3 linked regions of the Lepisosteus oculatus genome follow. The protein of the gene in region 1 interacts with the protein of each later gene in a biochemical or structural test. Links are inferred from orthologs where the notes say so. Each region holds a gene or a part of one and is shown on either strand. Other genes may lie near its edges.

Region 1 (8,134 bases):
CATTTTGAATTTCTGACGAGAAAATAAGTGTAAAAATAATCTTTTTCTAATATAGTCAATTTTCTATTGGTTTTCTATTAATTTCAGAAAAAATACGGTACACACTTGAAAACATGAGAATGAATGTATTTGAAAGAGAGTTTTATGTATTAATAAACTATTTCTAATGGATTATTATCCTGGAAAATACTATGAATTACTACAGTAGACGCAGTACCTCCCGAAGAAAATACTTAACGAGGTTTTTTCCGTATCTGGCAATTAAAACAGTCTGTTACAACAGCAACATGAAAGCACGAAAATATGTCTGGAGATTGAATGTTTAGAATAAGAGAATTTTCACAGATGTTTTTGGTCTATACTTTAATGGTTATTTTACATAACAAAGCCCTACAAACTGAAGAAATTTGGAGTTCAACCCGTTTCAAATGCAGCCACTTCAAACAGAAATTGTACCACCGTCAATGCTGGAAAAATGAAGTCGGTGCCAGCGGGGACCGCAGCGCCCAGTACTCCAGAAACTGTAACCGCTGTGACGGACCGGTCAGTGGATCAGAGAGGGGCACACTGCTCTCCATTCCGACAGCCAACAAAGGTCCCATTTATCACAACACAAATACTATCAGTCCGCGTGGAAATAACGATATGAATTGTGGTTTTATTAAGTAACATTATTTCCAACACAAACTGAATCGTGTTCCGCATCTTTCGCTTTCTCCTAGGAGAGGGGACTGCCGTGAATAATTTAATTCTACTTTCAACTTTCTTGATTTAGCATTTATAATTTAAATGTCATTATTATCCCTTTAATGATCCATTATCTAGCCCCACAACTCAGATATAAATCCTCTCGGAGTACATCGGCAATGAAACCGCATTTCCTACATTATTTGCTACAACGCGTTTTAAATAATCGTAGTAAAAATACGAAATACAAATAACAGGACGTTTTATTTTAAAAACCCGATGGTCAAAATCGGTAGCTCTTCACGTTTATGGACAAATCGAAAATACCAAACAACATATCAAAAAGTTATACTGAGGATACTATATATTAAAAATAATACAAACTGAAGAAATCCATTCAGATAGTGTTTTCCAGGAGTGTTTTCAGATAGGAATAACCTCACGGTAACAGTGGAGTTTATCTCACTTTTTAAGGATCACTAGACTACAGTTTCAGTCAATCGATGTCATACAGGACTTCTTGACATCATTTACTAATTTTATTCACTTTAAATTGTATGACATTTTTACGCATCTTAATTCGAGACCAGGTTTTCGATCAGATAGATACTGAGCATGATACTTATTTTAATAATTCACGTATTTTTGTTTCGTTGACTTTTTTGTAGCGTGCAATAAATACTTTTCTCGTTTAGAACCAAACATCGCATAATCTTCCAGCTGGAAGACGCTGCGCTCGCACTGAATAGGCTGCAGTAATTGCGTCTTGGAGAATCTACATTTGTATTGAGATTGCTAAGTGAAGTTCTCAAGCGCTGATTGCATTCTATTGAAATTCAAATCAGATTCACAATGAAAACGCTTGTCAGTCGCGGAGATTTACGGCCATCACTCAACTCAGGCATCAACATCAGGCAACTGTATCTTCTATAATCGTTACAATAAAATTACGTTTTGCTTTAAAGAATGAAATATTTTAGTGACTTCTAGGGTTCTTCATTTGAAATAACACTTTCACGCCTCAATATTAGTGTTATATGGACATAACAACACAGCCAAATCATCTTCTGAGAACCCAAATGAAATACTGCAAGTGAAGTTGTATTGCAATTAATATCTGAGTATTATCAGAGAATTGCTACAAAACATGCATTATCGCTTTCCAAAGCAAAGTCTGAATTTTATTCAATAAAACCGAACAAAACCCACTGAAATGAGAACTGTATAAACACGAATCAATGTTAATAATGAGTATTAAAATAATAATACACAAAAATGAGATTTCTATTAAAATATTGGCAAAGAACGAGGGCCATTGGGAAAAGTTCAGTCATATACTTCCAGAACAGGTACGCAGGAAACCTAATTCAAACGTTGTTACGAGTTAAGTGTAAAATCATGCCAAAAATAAAAGAAAACAACAGTCATGCACGCGGAGGTAACATGTGCAAACAGCACGAAGGATGCTAAAGCATCTTTACTTTGGCACGAGATTTACTCGCACAACTATTCTGGGCATCTTCAACAAGCGATGGGTCCAGCGATAGTTACCTTGAGCGTTTAAGAGCCTTGGAGAAGCCGATCCTCATGCACTGTGCAGCAGGCGTGTGCATGAGCCGAATCAAAGCGAGGAATGCGTGTGAACTCCCACCGGGACAGCTCCCCGCTACAAAAATGCCAGACTGCGCTTTACTACTCCAACTTCGCCGTCACCGCGCTCTCCACAACAGCACCGAAGAACTGGAAAATCCGATAGCCGTGGAACAGTGCAAGCATGACCCTTCAAGAAATCCGGAGTAACCCTGTATATATATATATTTCCCCGAAGACAACTGCAGTTCCGAGTGAGGTCCAGGAAAACTTTCTTCTCTGTTGCTTCACCACTTTTTTTCTTTAAAAAAATACTTATCAACAGCAAAAAATAACAATAAATTCTTTTCCAGCTCTGCAAACTCAGATGAAAGAACTAAAAAGACGGATCCTGATGTAAAAGGCGACGCTATGAAACCTCCAAAAAGTGAGCAAATCCATTAAATTACGATTCTTGTGTTTTGTATGCCTTCTTCAAGAAACCTTGCTCTAATCTCAAAAGCTTTGTCAGGTTTACAAAGGTTTTTTTTCTTGCGTCCCCCCCACCACCATCACTGACTCTACGAGCCCCCTCCTCCGGCTCGGTCTAGGGTCACTCCCCCTGTAACCTGAGATGTTTCCTGGGCAGCTTTCTTACTCAGCCCGCCTTCGCCAATCAAATCACTTCACCGGTCTCTCCGGCTCTGTTAGCTGAGCCCAATACGCTGCAAGCTCACAGCCCGGCGATTGTGAAGTTCTCTGGGTCCGGGAGCCCAACTTCATTAGGAGCCTCTCGTTCTTAACAACGCCTCCAAGCGGACTGAATAATAGCTACAGAGAGGCAGGCAATAAAGTTAACTCTTCGAAGTAACGACCCAAGTAATAGTGTGCCGATTGAAGGGTTTTATTCTTGTCTCCGGACCACGAGTTAACGCGACTAACGCTTGATTTCTAAGTTTTCTTTTTTAAGACCAAATGTGCTGAAACTTCAGTTCATGATGTGATGATTTCTCACCCCCAAGAATTTCCAGATAATATCATGGGGTAGCTTTTATAGACAGCAGGAAGTGAGCCAAGCAGCCCAGTAATACAAGTTCTCTAAATTATTAGTCTTGCAGTTAGTGCTGGTTATTATTTCTAGAGTTCAGCAGGACTACGTGTTCTTGCATCCCTGCCTTGTCCAATAATTACCTTTAAGAGCCAAACAATCAGGGACTGTTCACAGACATTATTTTTCCCAAAGAGCTGTCATCACAACAGTGACAACCAGGGTTTGTGGCCACCTGTTATCAGACCGTCACAGCACTAGCGTACTCAGGATCACAAAAATGGTAGAAAAAAAACATACCTAAATGTATCCAGGGCCCCAAACTATCTCAGCAGGACCTAGCTGCCTTTCACATCAGTTTTGTTCTTTTCAATGGATTGAAAGGGAGAGAAGGATGGGGGGGTAATCTCTTCACAGTTTTTTTTTCTGTGAAAGTAGCTGGAGCCTCTTAAAAACCAGTCCCCACTGGCTGTGAATGGGGTAGCTAATAAGCCTATTAATGAATCCTTGGGGTGTGGTATGAATGGGCCAATAGGCCTCTCTCCACAGAGCCTTGCAGGACAGCGCAGTAAAGCCATCAAGGACTAAAGGTGACAGTTTGGGCTGGGAGGGGAACAATAACTCCAGGTTTCCAGGGAAATAAAAGAGGGACAAGGCTACCATTCAATGGCTCCCATACCCCCAGCTGAGTTTCATTTACCCCCTCCTTCTCTTACCCCCTCTACTAAGTCTGGAGCTGTCCCCAGTTTGTCCAGAAGCCATTGAAATGTCCTTTCTTTCAGTGGCACTCTCCTAATTCGACTGCAGAGCGACACTGGAAGACCAGAGCTCTCCAGGGAAAATAAGAGGTCATAATGTGCCATGGCTCTACACAGATTGCACAGCACGGCCCTGCCTCAGCCCCTGTCCTGCAGACAATACGGCAGGATGAGAAACACCTTGCAGTCCTTTTCAAGCAAGACAGAAAGCTTCAAAATCAAGGAGGCTCACTTTTGTGAAGGAACAGCATCTTATTCCCAGCCTCCCCATTTTCCAATTCTTCTGAAATGCAAAAGAAAACTCAGCTTCCTGAAAATGCAGAAGCAATTCAGCGGTTTCCCTGTTTGCTTTTAGGTCTTAAAAGTCGATATTTAAAACACCATAGCAATTTATACACACAGAGTACAAAAGCAAAAAACGAAATGTGAAATGATGGAAAAGAAATCCTGCACAAGGAGAGAAAATCTGATATCTGTTCCAGCAAACAGTCTTTTGTATGTAGATGTTGGTTGCATTACTATTTTCATCACACATATTAGTTATTTTTTGCAGAGATGTCTAATTGACGTATTTGATCAGGCAGCTTTGAGCCACCTATGATGATGGAGTTACCCAGTTATCCAGTATCTGGGCTCTCCTCATTATTACATGCAGTTCTCCTAGGGAGTGGAGCACTTTAGCTACGGATTAGTGAAAGGTCTAGAATTCTCCAACCCAACCCACCAATTCATAAAACATACAGATAATTATGTACATTTAAGCTTCTTTTTAAGTTTATACTGTATGTTCTAATTTGCTTATGTAGTTTTCCTGTTTTTAAGTAGACGTTCAAGTATTTTACAATAAGTATACACTATTTTTTTTCCTCCAGACAACTCTCAGAGCATCCCTTATTGAAGTTTTGTCAGTGTGTTTATTATGGGGCATTTACTTTGCTGTGCTGTTCTGAGATTCAGTTTACTACCCATTGCTCTGCTTCTATCAGCTTATACTTGTAAAGGAGATGGCCTGCCAATGTGCAGATTCCCAGGTTGTCTTTACTTCGCAAGGCAATCCCAGTGTTGCAAACTTCTAAGAGAGTCAGAATTGTGTTTCCAAATTAAGATTTTCCCAAGCCAAGTAGGATATGAAAAAAAAAAACAAGGAACTTTAAAATTGAGTGTTTTTTGGTTTGGTAATGGCATAGTCACACTTTCCATATACTTTGATCGGGAACAAAATCACAGACACCTCAACATGTTCTTACCTAGGGGTGTCCTGGCGTAGACTCCTAAACAGTGTCCAGAATGGTGTCTGTCTCAGGCTCAATGTCATTAAACCCAGTGAGAAAAACTGTAGAGAGTGAGTGGATGATCTCTATAGAATAATTCCTACCCTCTGCAGCAACTCAGTGAATGCCGGTACCGAAAGTATGTACTCTGCATGCTTTCATTCTGGTCAGTTACGCAGTGTTCCACTTTCCTTCACAAAAAAATGATACGTATTGCTTAGCACATTCATTTAGACACAGAGGAATCTATTCATTTATTTAAGCAAATGTTTGACTGGTGGATTCAATAGGATCTCTGTATGGGGATGGGTACTTTATATTTGACAGCTCATTCTTTTTTGTGGCCGTTTGAATAGCAAGAAGTATGTCAGTAGCGTCTAGGAGATGTTTTATATGCATTCCTATCAGTAGAGTGTAAGTTACTACTGCTGTTTTCCTTTTTCTCAGGGGGTGGGGTGATGAGGGTCAAATTGCTGATTGGTAGCCCCTACAGATCTGCACTGGGTCTGCTTCAGATGACAGGAGAGGAGAAACAAACCAAAAACACTACCTGGTGAAAATTTCCATCGTATTTCTTCATGTTATAATTAAACCATCAGCACTATAAAGGCAGTGATTCATTTCCTGCATTAAATTTAAAACAAATGGAGGAGTTTAATGTGAACCATATAGGTTCCCCTTTCCCTGTACATGTACAGTACTGTACATTAATGTTTGGAAGGCATGAACATCCAGCACTCTGTCTGGACAATAAAAAAAGAGACTCAACAGGGACATTTTCAAAGCTCTTTACTCCAGATTAAAATTTGTTTCTCATTCTCTGAAAGTCATCAAAATTGTTTAAAGGCACAAATCTAACAAAAGATGACATTGGTGTGGCAAAGAGAAATAAAACATACATCCACACATTCTTCGACATCCTTTATTGTTTTGACCTTTGCCCTCAATGATCTTTCTTCTCTATCCAAGAAAACTGTTCTGTGTTGATCTTCAGGTGAAATATGTTGTCATTATGTTTCAAGCTAACAGTTTATAGCTATGTATTCTGTAGCACAGAAAGTAGCCATTTAGCTTAATAGATGTATGGAGAGGAAGAAATGATGTTAATGATGAAGCACACCTGACAGTATGTCAAAAAGATTTGATCTGGTAAATGCGAACAGGAAACATGGATCCAGTTCAATAAATCTTCCTAAAACAAGTAGAATGTTCTCACAAGAACTCTGTCTGGAAAAAACTGAGTCTGAGTTTGCACTGGTTTATGTTAGAGTTCATTTGAGGATAATGTTAGTTGGTATTAAAGTATTAGTGTCAGGATATGCCAAAAGCCCCATGTACAATAAAATATCCCTGCATTTTTATTTAGACATTGGGGAATAAGTACAATATGTTCTAGAAAAGAAGATGTTTTTTTATTTAAAAAAACTGCTAAAACTACATAGCCTGTGTTCATGATCCCACTGTTGTATTGTTTCCTTTATTCAATCTGAATTAATCATGACGAGCCACATATTATCGTGAAGTCTTACCAAAATATGCTTAATATTCCATAAACTATACAAGGAACTTGGTGAGATGTACTAAAACTGCAATGACATGGACATTAGTGGCTATGAGATTTATGAAAACAGGACAAAAAATCCAAAACGTTTCTCATTGAAATGGGCTTTCAGTGAATCCCCTGTGCCTGCTAATGACACAGACAAAAACAAGTTCTGCTGCATAAAACATGAGCCCGCAAAATGGATGACATCAACCTTCTTATGCAAATCCGGCATTTCTCCCCTCAGCCTGCCTGAAAACAGCTTCATCTCTCCCGCAGAAGAGGTCGTGAAAGAGCCTTCTCTTCGCGTGTCAATGGCTGAAGCCACTGCCTGAAAACTGAATGCATTTTCTAGGTGCTAACAACGGTGACCAATTGGCACCTTATCCTGCTCTCACAGTACTCCCGTTAGTCATGGTTCAGCTCTCGGTAAAGGACACTCAGTATTACCTCCTGAGAATCTGCAGGCTCCTTACTGAGGCCCATTGGCAACACAGGCAACCCATCAGTGGCAGCAGATTTGTTTCTATACTGTTAGAAAATTAATATCACAAGTTTAGAATTTGTGGATGAGACTGTGACATTGTTACCAAACTGCAGTATTAATTTTATGCGTTATTACTTTTTTATTTTATGTCTTATTTGCATTCCCTTTTCTCATTGTATAGTTTCATTAGATCAGGTTGGTTTAACGCTCAGGCTCTGCATGCCTCATGAAATGTTAGTATGGTAAATTTGCGAAGTGCCAATAGCTTTATGTTTTTCTGTCTACTATGCATTCACATTTACTTTTTCCGTAGTTTCCAACTGTTTGTGCAGCTGTTTCTTTGCCTTACGTTTGGTATGGCCTACTACACTTCCGTACAGTGCCGTTACTGTGATACACTACAGTGATGTGCTTACATGAGATCGCAGTTGCATTCATGCACACATTTATTGTACACCTGTACCCACAGACATGGCTGCACACTCATAAGACACAAACACAGCCCAGCAAAAGGCACCATTAAATTTATGTCTTTTCTGTGACACGATGACACAGCACTAATGAGGAGCCGTAAAAGCCAGGTCAGTTCTGTCTGTTAGCCATTTCTGCTGACCGCTGCTTCATAGTCTGCGCCTTTCTGATGATCTAAGCAGGAAGTAAAGTTAAATATTGAGACTAAAGTGATATAAATAAAATACAATTGTTGTTTCACCAAGAACTTTGGTGTACAGATGATAATAATAATAATAATAAGAAGAAGAATAACAGTCT
Region 2 (7,610 bases), on another chromosome or scaffold:
AGTGTTACCCAGTTTTCTGAAGTCATATCCTGACGCTATGGATCATTAAAGTTACCAAGATATACTGATATACTGATTTGTACTGTACCTTAAAATATCTTTCTTTTAATTATCAAATATTATGTACCTTGCATTTTTCTTGTCCAATCATTTAGCCCAAAACATTGACATTTAAAACCTTGTAACATAATTTACTGTCCTGCTACCCCTACTTGGCCTTATCTTGTGGCCTCATGAGTAAAACAATACTTTTTGTCACCTACAGTTCCTAACGGTGAAACATTGTCTCCATATCTTACATACTGTAATCATAGTTTTTCTGATATAGTTTTCATAGAAACTCTTCTCTATTTTCAACAGTTGTATGCGGTTTGTTTTGTGCTCTGTTGGTGTGTCTTGAATTTATATAGGTGAGAAAGATGCATTAACTCGGAGAGCTTGAATGACCATTCACTCTGAGCAAAAGTGCAGAGAGGCACTAAGAGGCACAGTATTTGGTTGAAACACAGAACATTGGCAGAGGTTACTCAACATTGTGTCCCAGCCTGCACTGAAGAAGGGGGAGGTATGGACTGGCCCGGTTTTGATGACAGACACTGTATTGCAATGGCCCATCGAAACAAAATATTGGTTTTCCAAGTTGTAGTGCTGAGTAACAAGATAGCTAAGGCATTAAGATGTCCAGCAAATTGTTTTCTTGTGTGATGAAAACTACTTTAGTTAAGGTTTTCTTTCCAACATCTGAACTTCATTAGGATTACTGAAAAAAATAAATAAAGCTTTTACAAATACTAAGTGAAATCTGCAAAATTGAATAGCAGGTTGTCTTTTTTGTGGGTGCACTGCAATAGTGCATGTGAACAGACCAAAAAGCACAAGCCCTAAAAATTATTCAAAACGATTTTTCAAAGAAACAAAAACCTAAGGTAATCAACTGCTTCAGCGTGGATCAATTGACCCTATTTTTTGTGCACTTTCTTGCTCCTGCCAAATCGCTTTTACTGCAGTGGGCAGGCAAACACAACAAAAGGAAGCTAATGATAACATCATTCCTTTCCTGAAGCAGAAGATTAGACACTAAGCCAACAGAGCAGGCTAGACCTGAGAGCCATGGGTGGAGAGAAGACAGATAGGCAGGAGAGAGGCTGACAGCTGAAAAAAAGAAGTGCATTTTAACTGTAAATAGAAGACGGGCCTAGAACATGTTACGTAAGATAGGATTCATCTAAAGAAGAATGAGGTCTCATTTATCTCCAAGATAAATTTCATGACCCTGTTATAAACATTTACCACACTAGGGGGACCTAGTGAAGTTTCTAAGTGCTTCAGTCTTCAACCCTGTACAGTATTTCTCCTGAGGCAGAGTATTTTATAAAAGTGAAAAGCTTATGACCTTTTCAGACATTTAACACTGACTTAATCCAATCTTCTAAGATATATGTTTCACTGCATGGCACAGTTTTGGCATTGTTACTGTGGCTAGAAGCTGTTTCATATTTTATTATCAAGCTAACACAATTCTCCGGAGGTAGTAACCTTCTCTTCATTATCCAAAGAGAAACAAAAACAATTACCTCATGTATAGGAGCATACAGGTTTAGGAAAATGCAAGATTCATTTATTGAAAATGTACACACATAAAACAGAAATTCTTGTAAAACTCATTAATTTTTTAAACTAATGTTACATTAAGTGATTCAAATCTAAAATAATGACTTCACTCTTCTTCAAAGTGTGCTAAGGGTCATTATTTGCTCAGAAGAAAAGGTTATGCTTAATTCTTTTCTTAGACCACATAGTAGAAATGTTATCGTACTACTACCAGTCTTTTTAATTAATAAAGATAACCAGCATCAAACTTCTGAAGAAAAAGTCCCAACAATTTATTGTTTGTGACTATGGGTTTGTTGTCTCCTATTATTTTAAATAAGTTGCATACGTGGAATACTAAACTTAACTTTAAATTAGATATCTTGTCAATAAATGATCTATTTATCGTAATTAGAGTTAAATTAAGTTTGTGAAAGTCAGTTTTCACATGTGTAATTCCTAAATCAAATCATATCCATACTGTACGTGCATTCAGCTTCAGAAAGTAATCTACTAAATATGTTTAATAAGAAATCATAGAACTGAATTTTCTTACATTTTTCATTTGAAAACTTGTGTGGCTTTTAAGTGCATCTGTGCAACATAATGAAGTCAGTATTGTTTCCAGTTTCTCTGTGGTTCATAATAACTGTCTCTCAGGGTCAGTTAAGCTACCAGGGACATGGCTTAAACAGATGCTGACTTTTCTTCTTTTCCATCAATTTCTACTGTTGGTTGATTTTTTTAAGCTCGCTCATTGTTGCATCTGCCTTCTGAGGAACTGTTAGAACTCTTAGTTAGTCTAGTTACATACAGTATATAGTTCCAGCCATAAACATTCCAGCCATCATAGTTTACATTGATGGTTGTTAGTTGTTGGATATTACAGAATCAACACCAGATGTATCTCTCTGAAGAAGATCAAAGAAGAATGATTGAAACTTAATGCAACAATACTTGCCGTAGTTTAAGAAGAAAGAATAACTTAAGGATCAATTTCTGATTAATATTTGTCTCAGTTACTGGTAATCTAGTGATTTAGTGGAATCTATTTTAGGCACTTGCCGACAGTTAACATACTGTTGTGGTGCATTCTGGCACAAAAAAAGTGAAACAGAATAATCACTTTTAATTTCCCAAGTGAGTAGTCCATTTGGTTCTTTTAGCATTATCTGTTATATACATAGTCATTAATCATTGTTTGCGTCATGGTTTATATTTAAAATATAGTAGATGTATTTTCTTGTTTGCTTCTTACTCTGTTTCATCAAAATTTGTAAACTTTTGAATATTCTTTCCCTGGGTTTCACTTTGTGTGGTGTCTTAAAAACGATATATTTTATATTAATTTGGCTGGGGTTTGAGAGAGGGAATTATGTTACTGTAACAGAAGGATCATAAACTTTTCAACCCCATTTTTTCACCCATATGAATTCTACTCCCTTTCCAGTCTGGTTTATCTGGAGGATGAACTGGCAGTAAATAAATGCAATATTTTGAGTCTGTTTTCATGCGGTTATATTGACAATCTTCACCTGCTTTTAGCATTATTAAGGTCATTCTAGGGTTTAGGATAACATGAAATAAATACAAAAATGTCAGTAGATGATGATTTTGTTAGAGAAAAAATCTGACTTCATACTATACCTGGGTGGACTGTCATTTAAAAACTAGCAATGGTCTGATTTACAGGACTAGGAGAAGCTGTTTTCATGCCATGAAATATAACCCACAGCTCTGGCAGAGAATCAGTCAAAACACAAAAAATATTTATTTGTCTGCAAAAAAAAAATGAAAAGCTGTTTAGAAACAGGTTGTGAGAGAAGCAGTGGAGATATGGGTTGAGAATAAAATGTGAAAAGGAAATTAAACAATTCAGACACTGGATTCTAAGACCAAGATTTTATGATGAGATCTTTCAAAACACGGAAAGGTCCCTTTTCGCTCTCATGTTAAAGCATTATTTGGCAAATAGCTCGTTAGCATTTGCAAATTGTTTGTGTATGTCTGTTTTCTTTCTAGAAATCTGGGGGGGAGGGGAGTGGTAGAGGATGTTATTGGTGGGTCTGGGGGCTTGGATACTGTTGTGGAAACAGAAAGTAAATATATGTATATTAGGAGATGGGATGTGAGGCTGTTGGTAGTGGCTAACTTTAGCTTTCAAATTCTCGCTAATTAGGAAAAGAAAGAAAATATATATTTTTTTTTTGTTTTACAGACAGTAATTTATCTGGTCCGGCTAGCCTGCTGTACGATACTGCATTCCGTGCACAGAGGGCGTAAATAAAGGAACCCTCTCTCTCCATATCGAAAAGGCAGAAGAGATGAAAACAGAGGATTAAAAACCGAAGAGGGTGGAAGGAGCCACTAAGTAAGGACACAAAGCAATGTGCTCAAGGTGGCTCTAAAAACAGTTCAATGCCAAAAAAGTGGCCACTGGGAAGTCTGTCCAACAAAGAGGCTCCCTAGAGGGAGCTGGATGCGGTGCGAGAGACAGAGAGATTAGCAAAGCCATGAGTACACAGCCCATTCTGTTGGCCAGCCTTTAGTGGAGGAAAAAAAAAGAAAAACTGAGAGCAATTAGCCAGGGCTGAAAGTCTGCCTCAAAAAGGGGTAGCAGTTGGGAATCTTCTGAACTTCCCCTCCCCTCCTACCTCCCCCCCACCACCCGCTCCAACCCCACCCCCCTCCCTTAAGGAATTTTGCAACTCTGCTGCCTGGTTTCAGATGTCTTCTTTTGCTCTGACCCAAGGGACCGACTGACTACCACCTCCAACTACCTCTGTAGGCACATCCCACCTCGGCAGAATAATCACTGACATTATTCACCAGTCTCTGACCTGTTTACTGCTAAGCAAGTTGGTGGTGGTTGGTGTGTGTGTGTGTGGGGGGGGTGGGTGGGGGGGAGAGAGAGAGAAAAAACACGCTCACTCAACACACACACACATCTTCAAAGCCAACTGTTTTTCATAGACTGCCAATTAGCTAAAGAGATTACATCTGGTCCCTGTGCTGAATAAATAAGGTGAAAAGAGTGACACGAATCAGACACTTCGGAGAGGAGATCGGCTGTGTTCAAGAAACCCCTAAGTGCTTCAGCTGTGGGGGGGGGGAGAAGCGTCATTCACAGAGGGAACTCCCGACAATATAAAACCCACAGACTTCAGAGGGATTACACTTACGGATTTTTCTTTGCTTTCCTTTTATTTATTTTTTTGGGTCCAAGAGAAAATTTATTGTGAAAACTTTCTGTTTCAAGGAAGGAGCCTTCAAGGGGGGGGAATTCAGGCTGCACGCTGGAGGTGGTTTGAGTTATGGATGTTGGTGCACTCCGTTCGACAGAAAGAGGAGCTAGAGAGGGGATAACAAGCGACGGGACCTCCACTTGCCTCCTTCCACTTCTCCCCAGTATTCCAGTATGTTTCTTTCTGTGAGACTTTTTCCAGTCCCAAGAGCTTCAGTACAATGTGGAAATGGATACTGACAAAGGGTGCCTTAGCCTTTTCACACCTGTCCTGTGTCTCCCTGCTTGTCTTGATCTACACTGTGTCTATCACCTGCAATGACATCGGCAAAGACATGCATTCAGCAGGGGTCACCAACTCTTCTGTGGTTGTTGGGAGACATGTGCGCAGCTACAATCACCTCCAAGGAGACGTTCGCAAGAGGAAGCTCTTTTCCTTCCAGAAGTTCTTTCTCAGGATTGATAAAAATGGCAAAGTTAATGGGACGAAGAGCAAGGATGATCCCTACAGTAAGTAACTTATCCTAACAAATCTCTTCCAGATGTAGGTGAGAGAATGAGACTAAATATTTCCACTCAGATGTCCTGAAAAATGATTAATGTAATGTTTTAACACTGCAAGAAACTATTTACAACTGTAGATAATACCCTGTTACCTCTTATGTTTGGTGTCCCTCATTTGCGATAGAAAAGACAGTGAAATAATTTATCACAACGGAAGCTGGAGAGCTTGTGAATTTGCCGTTCTGTCTCTTCCATTTTCTATTACAGCAGTAAGCTCTGAAAATGTAGAAAAAGCCTTGTAGTTTTTCTGTGCTCTCATCAATAGAGTGCCTTTGTGATATTTTTTTTACATTTGCATGTTTTAATCAGTGGCTGTTCACGTATGAAAGACGGAATCTGAAAACAATTATGCTGTGCCATTTCAGTGGTTTTTCTAAAAACTTTAAACATTAATTTCTTTAGAAGAGAAGAGGGTCTCTTGTGGTTCAGATATTATTTATTTCTGCACTTCATGCTGGTTTGAAATGATCAGAGAGTCTGAAGAAGCTAGGCTGTAATGCACCATGACCACTATTTGTCTTCATTTTCCCTTCCCCACTGTAACTGTATATTAGTGTTCATGCTGCCCGTAGCACACATGGTGTTTTCTAATGGTTTTTACTATTAGTTCTGCTGCTAAAAAATAGACTCCCCATCATACCAAAGTACTGCTCCCTCGTACCAGGGTACTGCTCTTTGAAATCAGTGTTGCTCTTTTGTACCAGAGATCAGCTCTTTTACACCAGAGTGGTGCTCTTTAATATTAGTGTACTGATCTTCTAAACCAGAGGAGTGCTCTGTTATACCAGAATACTGCTATTTGAAATCAGAGCGCTGCTCTTTTATATAAATGCACCGATCTTTTATACCAGAGTAGTGTTCCATTATACCAGAATACAGCTCTTTTATAACAGAGTACTGTTCCATTATATCCGAGTACCGCTCTTTTATACCAGGGTATTATTCTGTTATACCAGAGTGCTGCTCTTTTATGCCAGAGTACTGGTGTCTTATACCAGAGTACTGCTCTTTTACAGCAGAGTACTGTTGCGTTACAGCAGAGTACAACATTCTCTGTAGAATAAACATTTCTCAACTTGAGACCCACCTGGCCACTGTTCTTCTTCCATCAAGACTTTGGTTACACCTCATGCACACATTTCTGCTCGTTAATTAAAAACTATCTTGTGAGCTACACGTGGTAGAAATTGTACTTCAATAGGGAAGTATTGAAATGTTGTTTAGCTGTACTGGATATGGATTTAAGAAGCTTGAAGAAGGACTTGTATCTTCTCTTTCTTTGTTTTGTAATGTTAAGCAAAAAGTAATCAAAATTGATTAGGTTAATTCGTTTACGTAAGTGGATTTGCAGTCCTCTTAAATTACCCTTGTCTATAAAATGAAAAGTGCACTTAAACTTTAGAAGTGCTCAGGCAATGGTTGATACATTCTAAATAGTGTGTTTTTTAGAATGTGCAACAAAGAAGTGTTTTCTTATTTATAGTGTGTTACATAATATAGCAAGAATAAAAAGTAAATATCATTCACAGTAATCTTTATATTAAATTTGAGCTTTCAGATTGAAATGGCTATTCTTCTGAAGTTTATAATTTAAATACAAAATGAGTTCTCCACGAAAAATATAAAATGTTGTGTGCCCCAATTCTGAATTAATCAAAGGATGTCATCACATTTTATGATAAAGTGTGCATATGAAAAAATATCCTTGTTTGTAATTTGTTGTAAACGTGCAAAATTATCAACTTATTTTTCTATCTACTTGTTTTCTACTTTCTCTATATAGACTAAAGATGAATGATTTGCATTATGTACTGAATAAATTGGTGGTAATAAATTTTGTTTCTGTGAGAGGCAACTAAAGGGTTAAGATGCATACTAAATAATATGAAATAATACATTTCATCCAGTATATTAAATCTGATAAAATTAAATTGGCAAAAACGCAAGTAAGCAGGAAGGTCTCCTTCAGTAGACTTTGACTTGCTCAGGGGCATACAGTATGTTAGGCAAATGAGTTTTTATCTGACATAATAGCCTTGTAACAGATGCATTCCGTGCAGAACAGATAATCCCTCTTATGTTTATGGTATCTGTAGGAGCAAGAGTGTAAAACCATAGATCTTAGTGCAGGTTGGTACAATGGTCACATGCTGCTCTGTTCATGTAGTGAACGCTAGATGGTGTCCATTTGTATTTTTCTACATATAACTTA
Region 3 (7,869 bases), on another chromosome or scaffold:
GCTGAAAAAAAAGCCAAGGCATAATTCTGCCTTGCATGAGAGAAACAGGCACAACAGCAGAAAACGCTTCAGTGCTGACAGACGTTTCACACCTCATTCCTGTTGGTGAACTGTAAGAATCCGTCACCTTTTGTTGCATTAACACATACTTCTGCTGGGATCAAGGAAGAGCAGCTTCAAAGAGCAAACTTCATTAGTCAGGAAAAGCCAGTTTCTCAAACAGCCCTGTGCTGTAAGGTAAAGCAACCAGTGGCTGAAAATGAGGTCCCTTCTTTGAAGACTACTGTTTAAAACAGATCTCATCAATTAAACCCTGTTGCCTCAAATAAGTACAATTTAAATTGCCTGGAAATACTACACTAAAATGACCCTAAGAACAAGATCAATTACAGTAGATTCTCAGTTATATGTAAGTCACTTAGTTTTCTGGAAGATTAAAAAATAAACTGCCATTTGTTATTGAAATAAACATCACAGTGTTTTTTTCACAATTACTTTGAAATGGTTTCTTTTTAATATTGTATACAATTATATTCCATACTAGACAGTTACTTTAGAAACAAACATTGTGTGTATATTTGTCATGTTAGCCTTCATGACCATAAACTGTTTTCTTAAAATTTTAGTCTGTGCACTGAACAGCTAAAATACAACAGACAGGTTGATAGGAAACTTACATTTTCATACCCAGCCCTTACCTTTGTGTACTGACAATGTTGATGATGAAAGGGAAGTTCATATAGACACCATCTTCTTTTCAGGAAAAGACCTTCACACCCATCAAATAACTCTAAAAGCTACATTTTCCTTGGTCTTCTAAATTGTGAATATGTATATATATATATCAATATTTTCTTAAAAACATTTCCAGGCCAAAAAGACAATGCATTTGTATTTGGCATGCAATGTGCTTATACAGTACATAGACAAATGTAGAAAGGCATCTGCTCCCTAAGCAGTTCAATTATTATGGAATTCAGAAGCTCAAGCGCCTTCACCAGCATAGTCCAACTCCAGCTAAACCCAATGTCTAATAATAGTTTGACCTTAAACACAGTCCATTATTTAAATGAAAGCATAGCTGTATAAACTTACATCACAACAGAGTGAGTGTTTATTAAACAGTAAAATGTTACCAACTGCAATGTTTCCTTTTACGAAATCTTTTAAGAGAACAGTGATTTAATTGGACTTTATTGTGTTAAAGTACTTGTTTAGCATATGGAGTGAATTTTGTCAGTGTATAAGCACTCATTTGTAAGCCAGATCAAAATAATAGAGTTGATTGATAAAAACCAAGCAAAGAAATTATATATTAGTAAAGCCCATACAATATTGCAGGTAAAGATTTACGTATTTAAGTTTTATTTCCTATCCTATAATAGAACAAATTATGATTAGAACCGATTATAATAGAACTATTATGAACATCTAGAATCTTTCCTAGGACACTTTGTTTATTCATTGTTATTTAACTTACTAAGCAATTTTAGTTTTAATAGCATGGAATACTAGAAACTATCCTCATAGGAATTCTTGATGATGACTTATAACATTTCTAGTACACTTTCTATTTGCCTTTAAACACTTTTACTATTACTTTTCTTGAAGTGGACAGATGTGATTCCTTTCCATGGCACAAGGATTAAAACCTTTTGGTTTTGCATGATGAAACTTTGGATTAGTTTTATAGAATAAATGCTCTAAGTATTTACCTACCAGCAAATTGATCACCTTACTAAGCTTAACCCAGAATATTTATCATCACTATGACAGACAGCAGTTACACGGAGACAGATCTTAATCATAGTAATGCTTTTAGTAGTAATCTGTTTTAAATTCAATAATTTCTGTTTAAAATGAGCTATTTATTCCTTAATCTTTAAATGACAAAAAATGCTCAATACTTTGTCTAAGTACAAGTACATGAAAATGTACTAAGTATTTACATGTCTTAGTACATGTAAATAGAGTTAAAGTTAGAGAACACTCTAGTTGTGCACAGCACCCTAATGTAAAAACTGTTTTGAAACTATATTGGCTCAGTTTAAACTACTCTACTTAGTGCTGGGCATGTTTGCGTGTCCCATTGCAATAATGTTAGTGTTCTCATATTGTAATAACTGTGTCAGATTTAACAATGGTAGTCCATTAAAATAACAGGTATAGCTTTATTGTCTGAAACCTTTTCAAAATGTGCAAATAATTTCCGGAGTTCCCAAGCTCTTGTCAATAATCAATTTGCCATAAAACAAAAAGACTGGGAGAAATTAAAGAGGTGTACTCACGCAGGGTCTGCATGCCTCCAGGCTCAGGGCTTCCTCTGCTACTGTAAACTTTAATCACTTGTAATTTGGTTCTCTTTACCAAGTGCTCTTTGATCTGCTTGCAACATGCAACAATTTGAAACAATAAACTTAAACAACCTGTGTGACAATTGCCATCTGGCACTAAGTAGGCACACTTTTCCTCTAAACGCTAAGCAGCTTAAAATGGAACATCCTCACAAACTATCAAAAGGCATCACAACCAAATGAGAAATTAAACAACAACATGCTACTTTGTTTATGAAAGAACCGACGGAGGTTGAGTTCCTCTCCTTAAATATGCTCCATCACCCTAGTCTTCACAATCCTAAACATCAGTTTAGAATACTGAGATATTCTAGAAGAAATAATTGAAGTTAGTTTTGAAGACAACTAATCTTTATTTGTTCAAGTTATAGGTTGCTTGAAACAACCACATAAATATTTGATACCAATGAAGCAGAAATTGAAGACATGCTTTTTTGCACCACAAGAATAAAGCATAATAAAACCAACATTTATTTACATTTTTGTACCTTAGAAGTTGCAAGGTATTTTTCAGATCAAAATTTAGGATGTTTCCGACAGGACCCCTGACTCTCCAAACCCACACTGTGTCCCTTGTGAGTGTCTGACACAGCTGTGATCACTTACACGGTCCTTTTAACCTTTTAATTAACCTGCCCAGAGGGGTGAGTCACTTCTACCTCCCTATTATTTAAAAAATGTCCAGTTCATGGACAGTGGTGATCAGTACGTATACATAAAACTACAAGCTACCAGCTTAAAAGTATTTTATGTCAGAGTGCCAGCTACTTCATTAGATTATTTAATCATTATTTCATTTAATTGAATCACAGAAATATTCTCTGTAAGATAAACTACAAGCAAATTGTCATTGAGACAGACATTGATAGGTCCTTATTTTGATAGCTTACGTATATTATTGGTGCCAGTTTCGAAATCTCTTAGAAAACGCATATAAAAGTGTCAAAATACAAGGCTCTTCTGCCATTCCTTTAAGACTCTGTACAAATATTTACTTAATGGGAAAATATCACTAAATAAATTACGCCAGTGGAAGAAAGTTCAGAAGAGCTTTTATATACAAGAGCAATTGAAGTCTGTTGCTTTCTTGGCTTGCATCACAAGAAAAGGCTTGAAATGTGGATTGTTTAAAATAACTTTTAGTGCTTTATGTAGGTAACGTTTACACCTTTCAAAATGATGCATTTTTTAATGTTCTGATTCAACACTTACATCCTGTTACATTTGAAAGATAATACCATGACAAATATATTGACTACATTCTTGTTTTGTACTCGGTAGCTATTTCTCAAAAGTTCATTACTATGACTTCATTAGTAAGAAATATGTTATGTAACTGTCATGCTGTAAAAGCCTATTAAAATGATTCATTAATTGATATTCACTTATTTCCTGATAATCCTGCATCGCAAAACTTAAAAAATACAATGTATTTCAAACATGTGGTGTATCTTACCAAAAGCTGTCTTCAAAATTAAAATACGCTTTGAGGTACTGCTTAATCAACACAGACCTAGGTGATACAAACAGAAACAACCAACAGACCTTAAACCAGCCCTCGTGGATCTTGTTAGAAATAATCTAGTTATGATTTATCTGTCTATCTAAACACATCAGGTGTTGATAACTGCTGACTAATTTAAGAAAAGCAGGCTTGTCTGCAATCCAAAAGGTTCTCAAACTGTTGCCAGCATGCTCTTTGTTCTCCTCCCTAAGGGAATAGATCATTAAGTGCAATGTAAACTTCTGAAGTGTTGAGTGCAAGAAAAGTCCGGGTGTTTAAAACTGTAAATCCTGGGTTTAAGTACAAGCACAACATTCAAAGAACAGTTACCTCTGAGAAATTATGACTTGTAGTAGATAAATCCTCTATACTCTTCTCTGCAGCACTGTGGTATGCTTTGTTGTGAAGATTACTGCACCTGATTGCGTTTTCAATCAGCTTTCAAATTGGAGCAATTGCAAGGTGCGTGCAAACAGCTTGTAATCCACACCAAGCACCTCTTTTCCCAAGCTCAACAGATCTCTCCGGTTCTCGAAGTGCACCACGAATCAACAAATCTAGTAAAACTGCAGTCTTCTGAAACATTTGTTTGGAATGTGTGAATATTGGATATATACTGTAAATGATCCCCTTAACACGAGTTATTTCATTTCCGAGATCATGGTTTCAGCGACTTGTATATTTTTACTTTTGCTTTAAATAACTGCCAACAAATTTCTTTTGAAATGCGCGACCTTACTGTAGAGGTACAAGGTAATTAGAAAATACAACTGAATTAAATGTGTGCTTGAAAGGCATCAAGTTTCTGTCTCAGAAGTGAATGAAATACACTTTGATGCACACCATGGGAGTTTAAGCTATTCTTCAAGTTTATAGCTCCCTCTGATGACCACTGGAAGTCTGACAAAAAGAAACTGAGTTTTTTTTTTTCTATCCTGCATCCAAGTGACAGCTGACTGGCTAAGATCTAATTGCTTTCAAGTGAGGTCAGCAAAAGGCATTTATCTAAGTACACTGAATAACAACAGAGAGAAGATGCTCAGAAAAGCCCCTCTTGGGTCAGCACTTGATACATGGGAACAATTCTGAACCTGAAGGAGCCTCTTCTAAGTTAGGAGCAAGTTTGGATTCAGACTGTTTTTGAATTGCAAAATAAGAGAAAAAAGGATACTTGCGGTATTTGCTGCTGTTGCCTGAAAACAAAAGTAAGTATGCAAGTTAAATTATGACACAATTTTGTGATTTTCTCTGCACAGTTTCCAGCTGTCAGATTAAATTTTGTATTTAAATGGTACCAATGGGAAGAAAGTGGTTGCTTTTCAGACATGCTCTAGTATGCTCTACATGTGTAAAGCTGACAAGGAGGTGGTACTGAAAGTCTCCAGTCTCCAGTCTGTCCAGACAACTAAATGAGAGAAATTGTGGGCAGTTCTCCGGAAAGTGTTTGGTTAGCCGCAAAAGTGTCAATGATTATAAAGGCATGACTGCAACTATGAGGTGAGCAAATAAAGGAAAGCCTAAAGCAAATGTTTAATATTGATTTTTGCACTAAAGTTAGGATAAATGCTTACTAATTTACATCAAATGCTGCTTAGACATCAAATGAACAACTCATTAATTTCAGCTTCTACAGAGGTACAGAAACTACAATGCATGTAACAACAATATGCAACATATCATTTTAATTTTTTTCTTATAGAGAATTGTCTCAGATACTGACTGACCTCTGGGTCAGGGGTTGCAGATGTAATACTGATACAAGACTGACCATAATTCTTTGTAAAAACTGCTCTTTTTTTTTACAGCTCTGATATTGAAAAGACTGTCACCACAAACACCAACGATATGTACTGCAGAATGCATTGCTCTGTGTTGTCTGAATCTGCAATTAAAATATACAAAAGAGGACTATAGAAAACTACCTTCTTGGCGTTCAGTAAGGCAAAAGCATTTCTTGACACAATATTCACCAGTAGAAGTCCTGAAGACCTCCTGTGTGCAGACGAGAGGTCAGGTCCAGGACCTAGCAGCAACAATCTGCATTTTAATTTCTATTTCAGTATGTTGTTCGTGAATACCCAGAACACTGCATTATAATGCGCAAATGGATGCTGAAATGGAACCTGCCAACTTTGCCCTCTGGACTGTACTTACTCTTTATCCTTCTAGTGGGCAGTGTGTGTTTAGCTTGCAATGACAGAACTCCAGAGCAACTGGCTGCAATTATGAACTGCTCCAAACATGAACGGCACACAAGAAATTATGACTATATGGAGGGAGGGGATGTACGAGTCAGACAACTTTTCAGCAGAACACAGTGGTTTCTAACAATTGATGAAGCTGGCAGAATTAATGGAACACAAGATGATACCAACTGCTACAGTAAGTATCTTGTTTTCTTCCATGAAATTAACATGTTTTTTTAAATTAAATTCTGCTTTAAATTAACTTTCCTGCACAATCTGTATCCAATAAATATATAGATAAAGCTGTTGAAAAGTAAGATGCTTAAACATATGATAAATGTAAGATATTTAACTACAACAATCCAGGCTTACCAAGTTTTCCAATAATTTTCATCAATATCTCAACATTAGCTGCACAGATCTCATAGAACAAAATTATGACACTTTTAACTACTAAATAACTTAGCAGTTTTTATTTGGAAATTTTAATTACGTTTTTAGGCATATTCAGTCTTAATTTCCAAAAGACTAAACCGAGAACAGAAAAGTGCAGAAGTGCAGAAAAGATTTAAGATCATTCCCTGGGGCCAGTCCTAGGGTTGCTTTCCAGGTCTTCTTTTACTTGAATTTTACAGCACTTTGACTAAAAATATTTTCTGACCTCATCGGAGAGTCATTATTGTTTTTTTTATTATTTTGTGATTATTTTCAATCCAATAATGACCCCTTTCAACGTTCAGTCGCTGCCCATATATTGTTATCATACTATATTCCCAACAACATCATTAGTTAACAGGTAATCCATTGCAGTTAAAAGAGCACAGACATCCAAAATGACAGAAATAAAAGAAACCAGGTGTCACACTTGGCAAAGTGAATTCCCACACTAAACAAAGACTGAAACAAAGTACTGTATACAAATCGGTCTTGAATTAAAAAGTGCTAGATTTCTATGAGCAAATCTGCACTGATTCATCTCACATAATCTATTTTTTATTGATGACACTTGTTTACTAAGGTACATTAGATATCCAACAGTGAAAGATATTAAGGGTGTTTATGTCGCAGTTTTATGGGAACATACCACATGCACTGTGAATAGAAAATAACTACGACAAGACATGACTGTTTTGTATTAAAAGATTCATGGGTGTCCAAAAGCAATTATCCCAACCTCATTGTAAGCATCTATATGACAATGTTCAACAACAGTTTTGGTGTGGTCAGCCAGTTACGAGTATGTCTTACTGTATATTGCATTAATCTAGACAGATGTTGCTGCTGTCTGGACATACTCCTGAACACCTATTAAGTATACAACACCTGTTCTTTCCAAATAACAACATTAATCTTTCCTATGATTTCAAAACTGAAATTGAAAACTGAAGTTAAACCTTATAAACAATTCAAGGTGTTAAATATTTGAACAGTGTACTTTATTTTATTCTTGTTTTTCTAGCATGCGCACTTCCAAGTTGAAATACTGACAACAGCCATAACAGTGAGATTTAGATTGCAGTTTTAATATACTGTATAAATAATAATACAGTTTTTGTTACTTAGTTTTTCTTTAAATCTGTGAAGAATAATACTGGTATTTTGTACTTTTAAAGAAAATACAACTATAAAAAAGATTCATAACCAGTAAACCACCAAATCAAATAGTGATAAAGCAAAACACTAAACTTGAAAATTAGTTATGACAGCTATATTACATTTTGTCTGATCCTTAGTCACGTCACAGTTTTGTTCTTGTGTTCTTTTACCCTGGGTAGGACCCAGTGGTTAACTTTGCTTGAGCTGCCCACAGAGAACTCAGCAGGAA

What was found.
Region 2: the proteins of fgfr2 (region 1) and fgf10a are reported together in a solved structure, tested with the Homo sapiens proteins (3 studies listed by BioGRID and IntAct, with this or other methods). The link is inferred for Lepisosteus oculatus from reciprocal best matches to the Homo sapiens genes FGFR2 and FGF10.
Region 3: the proteins of fgfr2 (region 1) and fgf7 form a complex in vitro, tested with the Homo sapiens proteins (3 studies listed by BioGRID). The link is inferred for Lepisosteus oculatus from reciprocal best matches to the Homo sapiens genes FGFR2 and FGF7.

What each region holds. Positions count from the first base shown.
Region 1 is NC_090699.1:29,546,456-29,554,589, forward strand, and holds the start of fgfr2 (fibroblast growth factor receptor 2), read right to left. Parts: upstream 3,014-8,134; 5' UTR 2,301-3,013; coding exon 2,239-2,300; intron 1-2,238. UniProt on the Homo sapiens protein: Tyrosine-protein kinase that acts as a cell-surface receptor for fibroblast growth factors and plays an essential role in the regulation of cell proliferation, differentiation, migration and apoptosis, and in the regulation of embryonic development.
Region 2 is NC_090698.1:16,463,541-16,471,150, reverse strand, and holds the start of fgf10a (fibroblast growth factor 10a), read left to right. Parts: upstream 1-4,512; 5' UTR 4,513-5,055; coding exon 5,056-5,344; intron 5,345-7,610. UniProt on the Homo sapiens protein: Plays an important role in the regulation of embryonic development, cell proliferation and cell differentiation. Required for normal branching morphogenesis. May play a role in wound healing.
Region 3 is NC_090700.1:43,789,990-43,797,858, reverse strand, and holds the start of fgf7 (fibroblast growth factor 7), read left to right. Parts: upstream 1-4,869; 5' UTR 4,870-5,063; intron 5,064-5,663; 5' UTR 5,664-5,954; coding exon 5,955-6,240; intron 6,241-7,869. UniProt on the Homo sapiens protein: Plays an important role in the regulation of embryonic development, cell proliferation and cell differentiation. Required for normal branching morphogenesis. Growth factor active on keratinocytes.